Linked DNA regions of Arabidopsis thaliana. The protein of the gene in region 3 purifies or fractionates together with the protein of the main gene of each other region. This does not show direct contact. Each region holds a gene or a part of one and is shown on either strand. Other genes may lie near its edges.

Region 1 (3,637 bases), about 13 Mb from region 3:
TCACCGAGGAGGAGAATATGTAAATATACCTTCAAACATACAGGACAATAATTCCCCTTAACAAACAACCTTCCACAAGCATCACAACAAGTATGCCCCAAAAACCACCTGCAAAGTTTAGAAGGAATAATAAGAGATAGTGCACTTTACATGAATAAATTTCAAGTATCACAAGGCAAAAAGTTAAATACCGTAAGCTCTGGCCATTCCCAGGGACTGTAGACTCACAACTGTAACATTTGGTGTGCTTAGGACACAAATAGGGTCCAGAACTAACATTCTGTAATATTCAGAGATTAAAATAAACCAATTTGCAAAAGATAAGATAAGAACCTTATACAGACGCAATAAATACTATACCTTGTGCCGAGGATGTTGGCAATCACAATGATATGCATCATCACATCTTTTGCAGAACATAAACTTTTTTGGATCCCCTAAAGTCCCGCAGCCCTAAAGGAAAAATGATCAAAAGAATACAAATAATCAAGCAGCAGTCATACCTAGCCCAGCATGTAAAGAGCAAGAATAATCATTGAGCACAAAGTTGTGTCCGAACATACCTCACAGATTCGGCAAGATGGGCACGCCCAAGAGCTCCAATTAAAAAGATCTGCTAGCAAAAACCGGTATAAGAATCTAGGCAGAAAGACTCATAAGTCATAAACAATAGATTCCTATGAAACAATACCTCTATGTTGGGCCCAAGACTTCACGCAGTTTCTATGATACTTCTTCCCACAACATTTGCAAGAAAGCATCTTGGCTCTCTCACTCTTCCCAACTTCAACCAAATAGCACATGTGACATGTTATGCTTGCACTGTGATGATCATGATCTTCTTCATTGAGGTCTTTGACTGAAACCTACATAGAGAAAGACATAACATTGAATTAGTGTCTTGACGAGAATAGACTTCATAATCATCCAAAAAATCACAAGTAGTTTACATATAAATCATAGATTACAGAACCCGAAAAGACAGGACAACACCAAAACACATACACGAGATACAGATAATCAACATCACTGAAAACACGTTTTCTCACAAAGACAGATTCCTATAAACAAGTTCAATTCAATTGACATAGCAGTAACCCCTAACCACAAAAACAAGTTTCGCAAGTAAGAATTCGAACCTCTAAGTCGCCAGAACAATCATTCGCAGCATAAACTTCCACAGCCTTCTTCTGCAACACCAAGGTGCGTTTAGCTGGTACCAAATTCGATGATGCAGCAACAACCTCCATCGCCGAATCACTCCCAACACCAACATTTCTAGCCGCAATGCGAGGACCAGTATCGAAAACAGCAAGCTTAGGCACATGGATCTGAACGGTACCGTCCTTGGAAACCTCAGCATCCCAGGGGTTTCGCACGAACTCCTGAAGAGAATGGATCTCTTTGAGATACACATCCTTGACTTCATTACCATGAAGATTCCGAGAAAACCCCAAAACGCAGAAGCAAATTTTCCGGCTGCGGAGAAAGAACGAAAGAAAGAAGAAAACCCCCAAATTAGAACAATTCGATTAGTAAAAACAAACAAGCCAACGAGTAAAGGAGGCGCCAAAAGAAAGAAAAAAAAACATACCATGTAATTGGACAAGCTACGTGAAAGGCCATAGTCGGTTTTCAAGTTTTACGCTTTCGGGTTCGATTTTTAGGGATCTGACTTCTTTTCTTTTTTTCCTGAATTTTTTGTTAGGTTTCTGAATTAAATCACTCGTCCTTTATTGTGTAAATAATATAAACCTAGAGGTCCTTAAACGGAAATATTATGTTTTATCGGCCCGATCCGACCCAAACTGTATACACCAATAATAATATAACACGTGGAGATTCGATCTTTTTTCTTTTATGAAAAACGACGTCGTATTATATTTTGTTTGCCAGAAAGAAACTGAAGAACTCTTGACTGTCTCTCTGCGGCGAAAAAGAGAGCGAAGCTTGAAATCTCCGATTAAGCCATGAATGCTCCCGAACGATATGAGCGATTCGTCGTCCCTGAAGGCACCAAGAAGTAATTGAAGTTTCTATCACTCGAAATCATACTCGATAGTCCTCTTACATGTGCTAAACCCTCTCGATTTCTATGTTCTAGGGTTTCTTATGATAGGGATACGAAGATCATCAATGCTGCTTCCTTCACGGTTGAGAGAGAAGACCATACGATTGGAAACATTGTCCGCATGTACGTCTTTTTGTTGATTTTGCAACTCTTTTCTCAGAAAGAAGAAAGCCCTAATTTTTGTCAGCTCTGTTCTGAAATTTTTGTTTTAGGCAACTTCATCGCGACGAGAATGTCTTGTTTGCTGGATACCAACTTCCTCATCCTCTTAAGTACAAAATCATAGTGAGGGTAAGTTCCAAGTTTTTCAGTTGCTTCTACTGTAGAGCCTGTTGCTTTGAATTGGAAAGAACAATGCTATCCTCTGCGTTTTTTTCAGTTCATTGATTGACCTTAGGATCCAAAAGATTGGTTTAGGAACTTAAAAGTAGTGTATGGTTGTTTGGAAACCGTGAATATTTCTTGGTTTAAGCTTCTAGTGTTAACAGTTTCCTCTGGGATTACTGGTTGCTTAAGGACTTATAGAAAGATCTTGTATGTTGTTGTTTAATTGTGAAAGTGGTTTCTGTATGTAGATTCACACAACAAGCCAGTCTTCCCCAATGCAAGCATACAACCAGGCCATCAATGACTTGGACAAGGAGCTCGACTACTTGAAGAACCAGTTTGAGGTACATAAGTTTCTCTCTTCGGATATACTTATCTGATTATGTGGTTAATAAGCTAGACGAATATCAAATGCTATTGATGTTGTTTGATGTACCTGGTCTTATGGTATACCCTTCTGTGTTTTCAGGCAGAGGTGGCCAAGTTTTCGAATCAGTTTTAAGGAACTTGGAGTTCTCCATCAGCACATCGGGGAAAACGTTTTACATTGTCTTTTGCTAAGCACCAATCAAGACTAATAATGAGCTTGGGAAATTTTCCCTAGTTATGCTTTGTATAAATCAAAAACAAATCGGCCTGTAACTTCTTTTAACTCTATGTTTCAACACCATTTCAGGATGCTATGAAGTAATGCTTAGATTACCTCTTCTTTTTACCATTCTATCTACATAAACCGCTTAATGTTTGAACTATTGTACAAAGTCTCTTTAAGAGTTGTGATGGTGAAGCTACTACTCTTCCCAAGCTACTAAGTAAAGTGCATTTGTACAGATATTCACAGTATAGTGAAGTCATCATGAAGCCCTTCTAGCTGACCCCGAGTACGCTGCTGCTGAATAATTAACATTGATGTGTTGTGTGAGAAATCTGATCCTGAAAGAACGTCACCTATGGGACCAAGCTCTGGACATTGCTGCCAGTCGTTGAGGCCGGTGGTTAACCCACTGCTCGCTCTTCCCCCTCCTCTTCCTACAATCACCAGCCCATACTCTCCATCTAGTGATTTAAGAGCTGTGAAAGTCTCAGAGGAGTTGGTGAGATGCTTCTCCATGTAAGACACTCTTCCACCTCCAGCTATGTATCTTTCGTAGAACTCAGCAAAACATTCATCATCAAGCTTCATTTCCTCCTCTTGATCTACCACACTCGCTCTGTTCAGGATGCTGCTTCGTTTTTGTG
Region 2 (7,897 bases), 2.7 Mb from region 3:
TATGTAGATACAAAACTAATCGATAAAGAAAAAAAGCTGATGGCCAATCAATCTTAACTCTTAAACTTCAGTTTTTTCCCTAAGTTCTGTCATTTGCTTTAAAAACCTCTATTTCAAAAGTGTGGGGATCTAAAATAATAGCAATGAGATGCGAAGTAGTGTTACCTGTCTGTACGTGAATGTAGAAGGCGGGTCATGATACGGATCTACCACCGCAACTCTGTCACCGTACTTCTCCACAGATGATCTCCAAATATCAGGAACAGACTTCCATTCATTAGAGCTCAAAGCAGCCTCCCTTGGCAATGATAAGCGTTCTAAGAATGGCGAACACCGCCTTAACTCCTTCTCCTGAATCTATAAGAACGGTACACAATTGATGTTACATATAATTCAGGAAATGAACCATAAGGTAAACTTACAAGAACCCTATAAAAGCCTTTCAGGATCAAGCTGTTTAAACCCTGGTCATCAGAAGCAATTCAGCTTTCATAAGACAAGTATCCTAAACTAATAAGACTCAGAAGTCAGAGCCACTCGTTGTCTATTTTGGTGCAACAGCTAAACTTGAACCTTCCCCAAAGTCAATTCATTTCTTTAGATTACTTACTTCAAAAATCAAAGTGAAAGGAGCAATTTTTTAAGTCCACAAACCAAAAAGGAACTCGCCTTGGATTCGCAGCGAACTCGAAATCCCCTGCGTGAAGTTCTGCAGCCAAAAGCCTTGTAACCAAACACCAATCTCATCCCAGAAACTTGAAATTCAGGAGCTGAGGAGCAGTGAGAAACGAGAATCGAAGCTCCGAGAGACGTTGAAGCCATGGCTGAGGAGATAAGAGGTTATCGTGATGAAGTTGCTTGCATAGAGAGAATATATGAGAGGAGAAAGAGAGAAAGATGAAGAAGCAAAGAAAGGTAGAAAGAAAGAGACGAGAAAGTAGGTCGATGTCATGATTACGATTTTTCACAGGAAAGATCAGTTCCAAGTTGGTTGGCACCGCTACAGAAGCATGGCTTCTTCAGACTCTCAGAGATAATAAAACAAAAAACAGAGCTCAATACTTACACTTATATAATAACTTTTTATTTACTTATATATTATATTTCTATAATTAGATCAGATTTAACCTAATAAATCAAACTACCCATAATTATGATGTCCCAAATTTGGTAACTATTTGATGATTATTTCTAAACTGTAGGAGCAACCCCAACTTTGTATCTTAGCTAATTTTTAGGTATAAAAGTGATTAAATTTAATGAAACCAATAAACTTTAGCTAAGATAAACATCTTTATTAAGCCTCTCCGTCACTCACCAAAAAAAAAAACATCTTTATTTTATTTTTTTTGGTTAAACAAAAACATCTTTATTAAGATATTTTCTTAAAACTAAGAAAAGCATATGTGTTGTGTTTTGAGTGGGTAGACATTGTGTTGAAATAGTTTGTTGTTTCTTAAAATTCTAATCGTTCTTAACCATTGAAGTAGAAATTGGTTAAACTTCTTCCTAACTTTTCTTAACTTAGTAAAAACAACATTTTAATTTAAAATAAGCTTAAGATCCAAAATTAAAAATTAATTGATTTTAAACCATTGGGATTGCTCTGAGCTTTTTTAGTGAATTATGTGTTGTTTTTTTTCTTTGTGTTTTGGTCAAAATTAAGTTATATATGAAATTTATTAAACCAAACAACCAAATCGAATTAGATGTAAAAACCAAAATGTAGATGTTACAAATTTTGGAAAAAAAAAAAGATGTTACAAATTTTATGTCATGTGAACTTCTAAATATATTTCCTTTTCACTTTAAAATAAAAATAAAATAAAACTTAAACATAAAAATATAGATACCAAAGAGCAAAATTTAATAATATTGTCTACTAGTACTAGTGACGTCAATTTCTTCACTTCTCTTTGACTGCTTCGCTTAACCACTGAAAAAGTGTGCCAAGGGTTTTCTACGTCGAATCTCTCCGCATTCTCAGCGATTTTCCGGCGACGTTTACTCTGCACTCCTCCGACACCGCCGTTTTACTCCATCGTGCCAGCTTTAAGCAATCAAGGTACCTATTTTAGGTAATACGCTTTGATTCTGCTTTTAAGCATCGGAGAATATGTTATGGAGAATGATTCGGTTCTAAGGGAAAGTTGTTGATTTCGTGTTTGTATTCGCATGATTGCATTTTCGTGGTTCATGATTTTCACAGCTTTTTAATCAATTTCTCTGTCTTTGTTTAGGGTTTTTGTTCGTACAGTGTGTTTTGAGGTATGCCAGATATGGACATTGATGTGAAGGATCTTGAAGAGTTCGAGGCTACTACTGGGGAGATCAATCTATCTGAGCTAGGAGAAGGTTTTCTGCAGAGTTTCTGCAAAAAAGCTGCAACTTCTTTCTTTGATAAGTATGGACTTATAAGTCATCAGCTCAACTCCTACAACTACTTCATTGAACACGGGCTTCAGAATGTGTTTCAATCCTTTGGTGAGATGCTTGTGGAACCGTCTTTTGATGTTGTAAAGAAGAAGGATAATGATTGGAGATACGCAACGGTGAAGTTCGGAGAAGTCACTGTGGAGAAGCCTACTTTCTTTTCGGATGACAAGGAGCTTGAGTTTCTCCCATGGCATGCTAGGCTTCAGAACATGACATACTCTGCAAGGATCAAAGTCAATGTCCAAGTTGAGGTAACAGAAATTCTTTGTCGAAATTAAGTAACCTTGTCTGGATTTGATGAATGATAAAGAACACATGGTATAAGCTTATTTCTTGATGTTTCTACTAGACTCTTTCTGACACATATATGAAGATGTTGACATACACTGAGGTTCCTGTCATAGATTTCTCAATTTAACTTGCCATCAAATAATTTACTAAGGGTTAAGGAACATATTTGTCTGAAACTGGTTTCACTCTTTTTGGCTTTACAAGTTTTCTGTAATTGGATTTGGTTCCTTATTTGCATTCGCTGGATTTCTTACCTGAGCAAAATATCTAGTAAAAGAGATTTATTACAGTTACATGTTCGTGTGAAGTAGAGGTGTATTTCAAGCTTGGTTGTGTTTAAGATTGATGATTTTGTCTGCTCCCAATCTTTAGATGTTTCTTGTTTAAAATTTGAATTGTGATTACTTTTCCTTGTAGTGGTGGGTATTCAAACGAAATAAGCTTTAGTTTGTTTCATTTTAAAGTTTGGATGCAATAAAAGAAAAACATCTTCAGCTTTTTTTTTTATTTAGTTCTTCCCCACTGCCTCACTGTGCTTTAGTTTGAGTGTTTTATGCTTGTGTGCAATGACTCTTGTACTGTCAAACTTTTGATGATGTTTCTGTTTTGCTGTCCATGTATCTTATTCTTATAAATGTAGTTTATTGTCTAACTGCTTCTTCACTCTATAAATTGACTAGGTGTTCAAGAATACTGTTGTTAAAAGCGACAAATTCAAGACAGGACAAGACAACTATGTCGAGAAGAAGATACTGGATGTCAAAAAGCAGGACATTCTAATTGGTAGCATTCCTGTCATGGTGAAATCTATCCTTTGCAAAACAAGCGAGAAAGGGAAAGAAAACTGCAAAAAGGGGGATTGTGCCTTTGATCAGGGTGGATATTTCGTGATAAAGGGGGCTGAGAAGGTGAGTTTAACTAATACATACATATATGCATATTGCCATTCAATACGTACAATAACTTTATTTTCTATGCCAAAACGGATTTTGTTTGTCAGCAATCCATAAAACGGATTATAGTTACAATTTTCTATCATCAGATAATAGTGTTTATCAGCAAAAAGATGTTACAAATTAGACAATAACCTATTTGGTTCATTTTATTTTCCTAATGGAGATGAAGTAAGAAATTAAGAAACTTAACTTATTTATGACTTTGTATACTTCGTTAGCATCAAAGATATAAACTTTTTCTTTCCTTTCTGGCTTGACCATGAGGCCATGAGTATTCAAATCTTACAGGAAGCGTTCTTTGCAATCTTAGGCTCTGGGACAGATGATTTGACTCTAATATATTCTGGAAAAAATATTTTCAAGTTGTTATACTTCTCCCTAACGTTATTATATTGTTTTGCAGGTGTTTATAGCTCAAGAACAGATGTGCACAAAGAGACTGTGGATTTCTAATTCACCATGGACAGTCTCCTTCAGGTCCGAAAATAAAAGAAATAGATTCATTGTGCGCCTCTCGGAGAATGAGAAAGCAGAAGACTATAAGAGAAGGGAGAAAGTACTGACAGTGTACTTCTTGTCGACTGAGATTCCAGTCTGGCTCCTCTTCTTTGCGCTAGGTGTTTCGTCAGACAAAGAAGCCATGGATCTAATTGCTTTTGATGGTGATGATGCAAGCATTACCAACAGTCTCATAGCTTCTATCCATGTAGCTGATGCAGTTTGTGAAGCTTTTCGCTGTGGGAACAATGCTTTAACATATGTTGAACAGCAGATCAAAAGCACCAAATTCCCTCCTGCTGAAAGTGTGGATGAGTGCCTCCATCTGTATTTGTTTCCAGGCCTCCAAAGTTTGAAGAAGAAAGCTCGATTCCTGGGCTATATGGTGAAGTGCCTTCTGAACTCGTATGCGGGAAAAAGAAAATGCGAAAACAGGGACAGTTTCCGGAATAAGCGAATTGAGCTCGCTGGAGAACTATTGGAGAGGGAGATAAGGGTGCATCTGGCACATGCTAGAAGAAAGATGACCAGGGCCATGCAGAAACACCTCTCAGGCGATGGTGATTTGAAGCCTATTGAGCATTATTTGGATGCTTCTGTTATCACAAATGGGCTTAGTAGAGCCTTCTCTACTGGAGCATGGTCTCATCCTTTCAGGAAGATGGAAAGGGTTTCAGGTGTTGTGGCTAATTTGGGTCGTGCAAATCCATTGCAGACTCTGATTGATCTGAGGAGAACGCGACAGCAAGTCTTATATACCGGCAAGGTTGGAGATGCTAGATATCCGTAAGTGAATTCCACCTCCTCTGGTATATTTAAATATATCTCACGTATTTTAACTTACTGGTCTGGTCTGCATTTACTCCATTTTACATGTCTTCAGACTGTTTTAAAGATATTCGTAATAACTTTAATTCAATGTAGTATATGATGCCGATCACTGTTTCTGCAGTCTCTTGTCTGTGTATAATACTTATTTTGTATAGATGTTACTGCTATTAAAAAACTCTGATACTGTCTTTCTTGTTTCTTTCTCCCTTGGTCAATCTATCTGTTGAACTCTTGAGATTATCCATTTTGGTTCCTTTTCAATGTGAGCGGTTAGACAATTAAATCGTGTTGGGAAACTGAACTATAGCTGCATTGTTTGTAATGTTGGCCACAGGCACCCCTCTCACTGGGGCAGAGTATGCTTTTTGTCAACTCCAGACGGTGAAAATTGTGGTCTTGTGAAGAACATGTCTCTTCTGGGACTTGTGAGCACCCAAAGTTTGGAGTCTGTGGTGGAAAAGCTCTTCGCTTGTGGAATGGAAGAGCTGATGGATGATACATGCACACCATTGTTTGGCAAACATAAAGTTCTTCTCAATGGAGACTGGGTTGGATTATGTGCAGATTCTGAATCCTTTGTCGCGGAGTTAAAAAGCAGGCGGCGCCAAAGTGAATTACCTCGTGAGGTATCTTCTGTTTCAGCAAATCTCTTGCTATATTTTGATATTCTTGTGTTACTTGGTATTTGCTTTGGATTTTTCTGCTTCAGATGTGTCTATGTCGAATATTGTTTATATATATGAAACGTTCTCTGCAGATGGAAATCAAGCGAGATAAAGATGACAATGAGGTAAGAATTTTCACTGATGCTGGTAGACTACTCCGACCTCTCTTGGTTGTGGAAAATCTCCAAAAGTTGAAGCAAGAAAAACCTTCACAGTATCCTTTTGACCATCTTCTTGACCATGGGATTCTCGAGCTGATCGGGATTGAGGAAGAAGAAGACTGTAATACAGCATGGGGAATCAAACAGCTTCTGAAGGAACCAAAGATATACACACATTGCGAATTGGACCTGTCATTCTTGTTGGGTGTGAGCTGTGCAGTTGTCCCATTTGCAAATCACGACCATGGGAGAAGAGTTCTCTACCAGTCCCAGAAGCACTGCCAACAAGCCATTGGATTCTCATCAACGAACCCTAACATCCGCTGCGATACGCTGTCCCAGCAGCTGTTCTATCCTCAGAAGCCACTGTTCAAGACATTGGCGTCGGAGTGTCTTAAAAAAGAAGTGCTGTTCAATGGCCAGAACGCAATTGTTGCTGTGAATGTTCATCTCGGGTACAACCAAGAGGATTCCATTGTGATGAACAAGGCTTCATTGGAACGTGGTATGTTCCGTTCAGAGCAGATTAGAAGCTACAAAGCAGAGGTTGATGCTAAAGACTCAGAGAAGAGGAAGAAGATGGATGAGCTTGTTCAGTTTGGAAAGACACACAGCAAAATCGGCAAAGTAGACAGCCTTGAAGATGACGGGTTTCCTTTCATTGGTGCTAACATGAGTACTGGCGATATTGTCATTGGCAGATGCACCGAGTCTGGGGCTGATCACAGTATAAAGCTCAAGCACACTGAGAGAGGAATTGTGCAAAAAGTGGTATTATCATCTAATGATGAAGGGAAGAATTTTGCTGCGGTTTCTCTGAGACAGGTAAGTTCCAGATCATACTAAATCGAGCTGTTTTTTCAGAGAATGCATTCCTATGTATGAATCGAATGTTCCATTGATTGGCTTTTACATCTTACAGGTTCGTTCTCCATGCCTTGGAGATAAGTTTTCCAGTATGCATGGCCAGAAGGGTGTTTTAGGCTACCTAGAGGAACAGCAGAATTTTCCTTTCACGATCCAAGGCATAGTTCCTGATATTGTGATAAACCCGCACGCTTTCCCTTCTAGGCAAACACCAGGTCAACTCTTGGAGGCTGCTCTCTCCAAAGGAATCGCTTGTCCTATACAAAAGGAGGGTAGCTCTGCTGCATACACCAAATTGACACGTCATGCCACTCCTTTCTCCACTCCGGGTGTCACTGAAATCACCGAGCAGCTTCACAGGTACATTCTTCACATTGTCTCTTGGTTTTAGCTCGTAAAACAGAATATAAAATTATATGCTATAACAGATTTACATTTGCTTCCTATACAAATAGATGATATCATTAAGGGCAGGAACATATTATTGATAATATTTCCTCGTTGAAGATGTTTAAACTTGGAGACTTTGGCTACAGAATTTCCAAAAGTTGATTGAGCTAATATACTGCACAAGGCACTAAGCTAGATTTGAGCACCTTACTTGAAACATGTCATAGTGGATCTTTATTTTGTTTTCTAGGAGTACTAGAAGTGAGCATGAGTTATCTGTCTCTGTAAGACTAAAAAACTAAGAAGTTCAATGTTCTATGGTTGATTAATTTCTTGTATTGTGCCTGAAAAACGTCTAGAGAATACAGAAAAATAGGCTCAAGAGTCATGTACCAGTATATAATTAGTTAGAGGATTGATGCTGTGAGCCTTGTGATCTATGTATAATTCATTTAACCTTTCTTAGATTATTGTTGATTCTTGAGTCCTGATTCATTACCAATGGTAAATATTTGTGATTAGGGCCGGCTTTTCAAGATGGGGAAACGAAAGGGTCTACAACGGTAGATCAGGTGAGATGATGCGTTCTATGATATTCATGGGCCCAACTTTCTACCAGCGACTTGTCCACATGTCAGAGGACAAAGTCAAGTTCAGGAACACTGGACCAGTCCACCCGCTCACACGCCAGCCAGTTGCAGACAGGAAGAGATTTGGCGGGATAAAATTTGGAGAAATGGAGCGAGACTGCCTAATAGCTCACGGTGCATCAGCTAATCTGCATGAGCGTCTCTTCACTCTA
Region 3 (6,870 bases):
TACTGAATACGATAACTTAAAACCTTATAATTAGATCAGATGTAAAACTTGTTCGTTGAGGCATGTTTCTGCAAAAGATGATGTTTCACACAAACACACACATATACAGCTGCTTGAGATCATATATTACAGAATACTCTTGGGATAAGTATGTTGTATACATCTATTTGAAAAGTTTGGAAAGACTCAAACTTCTCTGGTACTGTATATGTAGTGCTGCTCGGGGACTCATCAATCACATGTTGTTTGAGTCAGCGAAGCTGACAGGAGGCAAGGTTAGCCAGAGATCCTGATGCAGTCTGGTTGCAGACTCTCCCATTGTTATTCTCTCTCTATCTCTCTAGTCAATGCTTGTAGGCTAACAATGCAACTAAGTTGGCTTGAATAATAGACTTGATCGAGAAGCCTCAGTGACTCAACATTGAGGATTTTCCTGTGCAATCAATCAAGTGGTTCTCTATTTCAAATCTAATCATACAGTTTTTTTTTTACTCTGGCTTAGATTTGTTTATATTTTGGATTAGACACTTCAGAAGTTCAGATCATTTCCAGTTACTTTTGACGTAAGATGAGTATGAATTATGCAATCAACAACATTGAGCTAAAAAAAGTGCTAATATTATACATAATTGTGAACAGTACACAACAACATTGACCGCATGATTCACTGCTTATCTCTCCGAGAAGTAACATAGCAAAAAAATAAAAAAGACGATATTCCACGCTTCTATGAAGATTATGGTACAGACTGATTCATTAAAGCATCAACTGCAAAACAAGAAAAACAGTTCCGTAATTGAAAGTCTCCACGATAAAGAAAATGGAAGACTCCTTCTGAGATTAGACAAGTCTCCAGGTTCTTGAGGACGTAAAGGCTCTTGGTCAACTTCACTACATCATATCTCTGACACGTTTCGTGACACGAGCAAACTCGTTAAACAACGTATAATCAAATTCACAGGCTTCACTATTTGAGATTTCTTTAGAGAGATCAAGTGGTGTTGATGGGTTCTGGCAAATGACAAAGTCAAATCCTCCAAATCTCTGCATCAGAGTCTCCAGCCTCTTTGCCGTTAAGCTTTTGATTTCTTCAATTTGCACTAGCTCACCGGTTTGTCCCGAAGTCTGCCACCATCTTTTCAGTATGTTACGGCTCAATCCACAGGACTCTACAGAGACTACGCCTTTTAGATGGATTCCAAGACGGTCCAATGCAATTTCCGCACCACCAATCCCGCTAAAGAGTGATAAAACTGTTAAACCTTGGGGAAACATAGACTTGAGTACAGAGAGATGGTAACCCAATGTGTCTGTTTGGAAGCAGTAATCAAACAACTTCAATCTTTCAGCCAACCTTCCACCACCGATGTTTGTGTGGTTCATTGGATATCCCATAATGCACTCTAAATGTTCAGGCTCCAAGGGTGAGAGGATGTTTGGTGCTATCCAAATGAGATTGGAGGTGTGACAATGTCGAAGTATTAAAGTCTGGTCCTGTTGAGTAGGCTTTCCCTTGCATTCAGCTATACGGCGACCAATTCGTTCACAGAGAAGAGTTGCATCTTTCATATTAGAACACGTGCCGCTATTGAAATGCTTTCTGATATCCCATTGTGGCCACCAACTCCTCATGTGTGGCATTGCGTCTTGTATAGTTAATCGAGGGTTCGGGAGGGTATTAAACCTGTTAACAGTGGGAAGATTGTGCAGGTACCCTTCTGTCCTACGGAGCGCTGAACACAACCGAGTATCTACATGTTCGGGGTGAATTCCGAACAAGAAACCCGAGATCTTCGACCACCAGCTAGGAGAAAGTTCACCTAACTGTCCATAGAAGAAATAAGGTCGTCTGGCTACTTTTGGACCAAGACTCTGGGACAAACGTGGCTGCATTACACTGGGAAATTCATATGTGTTATCTTTCCACTCATCTTGCATCCATGGGGTTTCCATAAACGAACTTGAGTCACCCATATCTTCGGGCCTTAACCGTTTTCCTCTGTCATCGTAGCCAGTGTATTCTTCTGGATAGGCATTCTCATCCTCATCTTTTGGTCGCTTACCTCTCGAGGTCTCTCCCACATTGTCAGTGGCAGGGAAAGGAAAAGACTCAATACCAGGATCTGGTTTTATATTAGCAGTGCCACTCGACGAACCCCCACCACCATCCTCTTTCTGAGCACCAACCCCAACAAATCTCCAACTCTTTGAAAGACATGTACGATTCACTGCAGGAGCAGCCGCTGAAACTTTCTACAGTGACACCAAATATCATTGAGTTAAACTCCAACAATATCTTAGTTTAATTAAGAGAAGAGTGTGAGATGGTTTAGGTGCAGTAGCAGCAGCAAAAGCTCTAGTTTCAGCACTTCACTTTACAAGTGCATCATTGGAGGTCGAGTAAAAATTAATTAAAAACATTAGTGTACATACCTTTTCTATATCTTCAAGGTCATCATGGCATTCCGCAGGAAATTCACCAGTAACAATTGACTCAGCAAGGACAGAAATCTGACCTTTTGTACCTGAAGAGGTGCAAAATAGATTATATACCAGTACAACAGGACGGGCTGCAAAACAAATGATAGGATTTCTTTCACCCTAAAAGTATCATAATCACCCCCGACAACATAAACAAGATACGTTTCATGTCTACATTTTTTTCTTTCAGACATATAACAGTCATGGGATGAACAGATAAGTGCCTCAGTTGCTCACCTATCTTCTCAATTGCCATTGAAATTTCATCATTAGAGAATCCCATTTCCAGTAAACGCAAAGTCTTGTCCATTGTTTCAAACAATTGTTCATTGGGAACCTGAATTTAAAACACAAAACAAAGGTTAGAGGTAATAAAGGTAATAACAACATGAACAACACAGAATGAACACAAAAGAAAGGTAGTGGAATCTACAAAAGCATTGACAATAAAATCAACAGCTAATGTCAAAAAAGCACCAAAGACCTCAGGTCCTCGAGCAGTAACTGGAGTGACATCTTCATCTTCTTCATTGATCTCAGCACCATCAAGTGAATCTTCGGATTCCTCCGCATACTTTTCAGCTAATTGAGCAGCAACAATGAAGTCCACCATCTCATCAATTGGTGTGTCTTTACCTATCACACAGAACAAACAATCATGAAGAAAGGATTTGGGGATAGGCCAAATGATAGCTGCTATCTGCATGCTAAGTTTCTATATAGCTTTGAATAGTATAAGTATCAATTTTTTAGAAACTATTTACAAGTTTCTAATACGGTCACAGGGAATGGATTTTCCACTTTAACATTAATAAACAACAGCTTCATAAATGTTATTTCTCTTTTCAGAGAGTTATAATATACTATAAGCCTCCTTAGTTTGCCTATATTAAATGTCATACAATCAGAAGTTCCAGTATGAAGAGATGGTTAATCTATAAGAAGACAAAGAAAAAATATCGTGCAATAGTGAGAAATTGGTCTTGCAATGTACACGAGGTCTAATCACTCAAAAAATAACCTGAAAAGAAGAAATTCTAATATGTTAAACCATGAATAGACACGGACAAAAAGGTGTAACTTTGTAACATGTTTGAATTTTGAATGCAAAGCCAAAGACATTGTGAATACATTACCAAGCCTATCCAGTGCAAAGTCAACAAGATTTTCTGGAAACTTCATAGTTAGTAACGCAATCCTTATACGGTCAGTTTCGTATTCAATATCAGGTTCCTGTCAAAGAAAAGCAAGAAACATTAAGAAATTACACAGAATGAAAGACAAGACATGTGGGATCACACATTATGCGCTTTACCGGTTTGGGTTCCATTAGCCCATGAAAGCTAGGTCCAGGAGGTTCTGTTTCAGTACTCTTAGTGAGAATCTCTAATAGCAACTCAAAATCATCTTGACCTGGATGCGAAGAGGCAAACTCAGTAATCATATATACCCCAAATGAAAGTTAGCATGCATGGTAGTTTTTTACAGGAAACTGAAGAATACCATTTTCGTCAATTGCTTTCTGAACAAGAGTTGGGCAAAATCCCATCTCAATCAGCAATGACTTAACATTACTTCCAGAAGAACTAGCAGCATTGTCCTGCACATCAAGTATGAAACAATAAGAACCTTTCTAAACCACTACTTGTTCTAAACAGTAAAATGTAGACACAGTGGATGTTTAAGAATCTTAGCCACTTATGTCCTTTATGGTATAGAAAGGGTAACAAAACATACACCAATCTGCTGAGGGAAAGAGGTGTCGCAGGGCAAATCAAAGTCCAAGGTCTCTGGTTTTGGAAACAGTATCTGCTCATTCCTTTCATGATTAGAGGAACCTCCACTTCCATTTCGTCTACGCATATCAGCCTGCAAGATTCCAGAAAAACTTATGAAAAACATGCAACACAAAAAACAAAAGATAACATTCCCAAAGTAGCCAAATTCCATACCATTTGAATTAAAATTCACACACAAAATCTCACATGAAAGCCCTGCAGATAGATACCAGAGAGATTATGTCAGTGTCCCCAAATAACACAAAAGATGAACTTTAAATGGAAAAGAATTAACCTCATTGATGTTGATTTTATCCCATAAACGGCAAGGGAGAAGATGGAATCAATAAAGCCCCAAAAATAGAACACTCCTCGAACTAAGAGATGAAACCAACCACGAGTGACACTTAAAAAAGCAATTCCGAAAAATCACACAAATTCCAGAGATTGCGACAAAGAGAGCGAGAGAGAGGAAGACGGTGCATGCCTGTGCAGTGGTCCGCGTCTCACCCAATCGAGCCCAGTGCGGAGGAGGAGAAGCTAAAAAGTTATGAAGTTGATCGCAATGTTGCGCGCCGCGTGGACTACACTGCCGAGACTAATTCGGAATTTTATTGATTCCCTTTGAGCAGTCCGGTAGATCGAGCGCGTGAGGAAAAAACGAACGGTCCAGATCATAGAGTTTGGAACTTCGACCAACTTTCTATTACAACTATGTTGTAGTTCTGTTTTAATATTTCAAGTTTTTAGAATTTTAAATTTATGTTTCAGATGCTAAAATTTGTATACACTAAAAACATCATTTACCAAAACTTGATGAAAAACGAAAGAAACTACTCTCAATTCCCAAGCTTTGAGAAAGATTAAATTTTGCAAAGATAATTAATAGATTTCGAGCTATTTCTCGACAAAGATTATGTTTTTTTGGCCCAGTTTTGTTTAGTTTGTAACAAATTGGAGCACCGAGGTTATGTGACCCAAATGTACGTAGACTAGTCGAGGCCAATGTATATATAGTACTACTATTGTACCTGAAAGATGATCAAACAAATTAATAAGTTGAGTGATTGGTTCTGTTAATGCAAGATTTTTTTTACTAATCTTCATCAAAGAACATGGCAAAATAAACAAAGCAAGAACTACGCCTGAAACAATCTATAGATTTTGTAAATGGACTAATTAATGACATGGTTTCTTCCTTTGCTTCGTGCATGGTGTAGGTTGCTAGATTTGCACTGAATTAATGACATGGTTTACATTTCTGCTTTATAGATTCAACGTTGTCGTCTTTGTGAATTCCGTCTAGATTGACGCTCATCAGATAAACCCTATATTTCAAAATCATGATCGCATGAAACTCCTTCACTTGTTTCTTCTATGCTTTGTTGCCTGGTTGGAATATTGAGAGAAAGAAGAAATAAGGTAAGAGGTACGAGATAATATCTCTTCTCCTTAGAGACAACAACAGAACAAAACAGAAAATGTTTTATTGAACTGAAACTTGTTAATATTTACATGACAATACAATATTAAGTTTATATAAAAAAAAAAACAAATAGACACAACAACCCAATTAGTTGTGTCTCTTTTTACTTGTGCCCTTTGAGTGAAACAACACAAACTTACAACCGTTAGCTGAAAACTCAATTACGGACCAACACTCCCCCTTAATTGAGCTTCGCTCTTCCACTTAGCTCCCTTCTCAGTTTGTCACAACTTTCGGCTTCAAACTCTTTAGTAGTAGCATCACACTTCCCCCAAATAGTCTTACCCAATTCGTAACACTTCTTATCATGATCTTTAGTAAAGTCACCACTTTTCTTTTTCTCAATCTACTTTCTCAAATTTCTCTCTCGTTTCAACAAATCCGATAGTGAAGAAGAAATCTCAGCCTTTGTTTACTCCATCGACGGCGAAGAAATCACCGGAGATGCGACTCCCAACGGTTTCTTTGAAGTGGATGCGACATCCGACGATTTCTTCGCCGTTGAGAAAAAGAAAAGTGGTGACTAAACTAAAAATCATGATAAGAAGTGTTACGAATTGGCTAAGACTGTTTGGGGAAGTGATGGTGATGCTGCTACTCTTGTGAAGCCAGAGAGTTTGAAGCATGCTTCTGTTTTTGCCTGGCCGTAACCCTAGAGAGCACCTCCTCTGCCAAATCCAGAGGAAGATCCGAAATATCTTCGTCATTGTTTCAATAAATAGTAATTAGGGTTTTACTTCCACACCTTTAGTCTTTTTTATAAAGGAATTAGTTATAAATTAGGTTACCGCCTTTGTGTCCGGGCCCAAGGAGACTACACAACGGGCCTCGATAAGAAAACCCTCATTTGTGAACGATGACAACATAGGATCATAACTATCGTTTCATAGGCAATTCTATAAGCCATGTGTGTAGTTCACTCAAAATATGTATGAACACTTTGTCTTTATCAAAACAGTGCGACTTTTAACAAGATAAAACATGAAACGATGTAAACATGTAAATTCTTCAAATGTGAAATCAATCCATATCTTATCAAATTGATTCATACACACACACAAAGTTTGCCTAATACTCAATGATGAGTGGTTCTCATAAATTCATAGACTCATAGTCATATAAAAA

What was found. Proteins that work in one complex are often made in the same cells at the same time.
Region 1: the proteins of DRM3 (region 3) and NRPB11 purify together in Arabidopsis thaliana (affinity purification with mass spectrometry, with the first as the bait; one study listed by BioGRID). This does not show direct contact.
Region 2: the proteins of DRM3 (region 3) and NRPD2A purify together in Arabidopsis thaliana (affinity purification with mass spectrometry, with the first as the bait; one study listed by BioGRID). This does not show direct contact.

The regions. Positions count from the first base shown.
Region 1 is NC_003074.8:19,317,332-19,320,968, reverse strand, and holds NRPB11 (DNA-directed RNA polymerase, RBP11-like protein), read left to right. Parts: upstream 1-1,845; 5' UTR 1,846-1,970; coding exon 1,971-2,023; intron 2,024-2,104; coding exon 2,105-2,194; intron 2,195-2,283; coding exon 2,284-2,362; intron 2,363-2,468; coding exon 2,469-2,558; intron 2,559-2,646; coding exon 2,647-2,742; intron 2,743-2,867; coding exon 2,868-2,900; 3' UTR 2,901-3,120; downstream 3,121-3,637. Other genes in the region: AT3G52100 (RING/FYVE/PHD-type zinc finger family protein), read right to left, coding at 30-108, 192-280, 361-453, 564-613, 692-866, 1,008-1,061, 1,140-1,479, 1,595-1,626; chx28 (cation/hydrogen exchanger 28), read right to left, coding at 3,234-3,637.
Region 2 is NC_003074.8:8,568,193-8,576,089, reverse strand, and holds the start of NRPD2A (nuclear RNA polymerase D2A), read left to right. Parts: upstream 1-1,880; 5' UTR 1,881-2,078; intron 2,079-2,240; 5' UTR 2,241-2,270; coding exon 2,271-2,687; intron 2,688-3,407; coding exon 3,408-3,635; intron 3,636-4,086; coding exon 4,087-4,967; intron 4,968-5,346; coding exon 5,347-5,638; intron 5,639-5,769; coding exon 5,770-6,663; intron 6,664-6,760; coding exon 6,761-7,065; intron 7,066-7,617; coding exon 7,618-7,897. Other genes in the region: AAE16 (AMP-dependent synthetase and ligase family protein), read right to left, coding at 166-357, 670-822. UniProt on the Arabidopsis thaliana protein: DNA-dependent RNA polymerase catalyzes the transcription of DNA into RNA using the four ribonucleoside triphosphates as substrates.
Region 3 is NC_003074.8:5,908,403-5,915,272, forward strand, and holds DRM3 (S-adenosyl-L-methionine-dependent methyltransferases superfamily protein), read right to left. Parts: upstream 4,944-6,870; 5' UTR 4,747-4,943; exon of another isoform or gene 4,637-4,746; 5' UTR 4,555-4,636; intron 4,476-4,554; 5' UTR 4,437-4,475; coding exon 4,434-4,436; intron 4,351-4,433; coding exon 4,219-4,350; intron 4,082-4,218; coding exon 3,985-4,081; intron 3,895-3,984; coding exon 3,797-3,894; intron 3,715-3,796; coding exon 3,618-3,714; intron 3,600-3,617; exon of another isoform or gene 3,188-3,599; coding exon of another isoform or gene 3,118-3,187; coding exon 2,966-3,117; intron 2,819-2,965; coding exon 2,719-2,818; intron 2,526-2,718; coding exon 2,434-2,525; intron 2,254-2,433; coding exon 892-2,253; 3' UTR 532-891; downstream 1-531. Other genes in the region: EMB2786 (COMPLEX 1 LYR-like protein), read left to right, coding at 215-293. UniProt on the Arabidopsis thaliana protein: Catalytically inactive DNA methyltransferase that acts as regulatory factor for DRM2-mediated DNA methylation. Required for maintenance of non-CpG DNA methylation.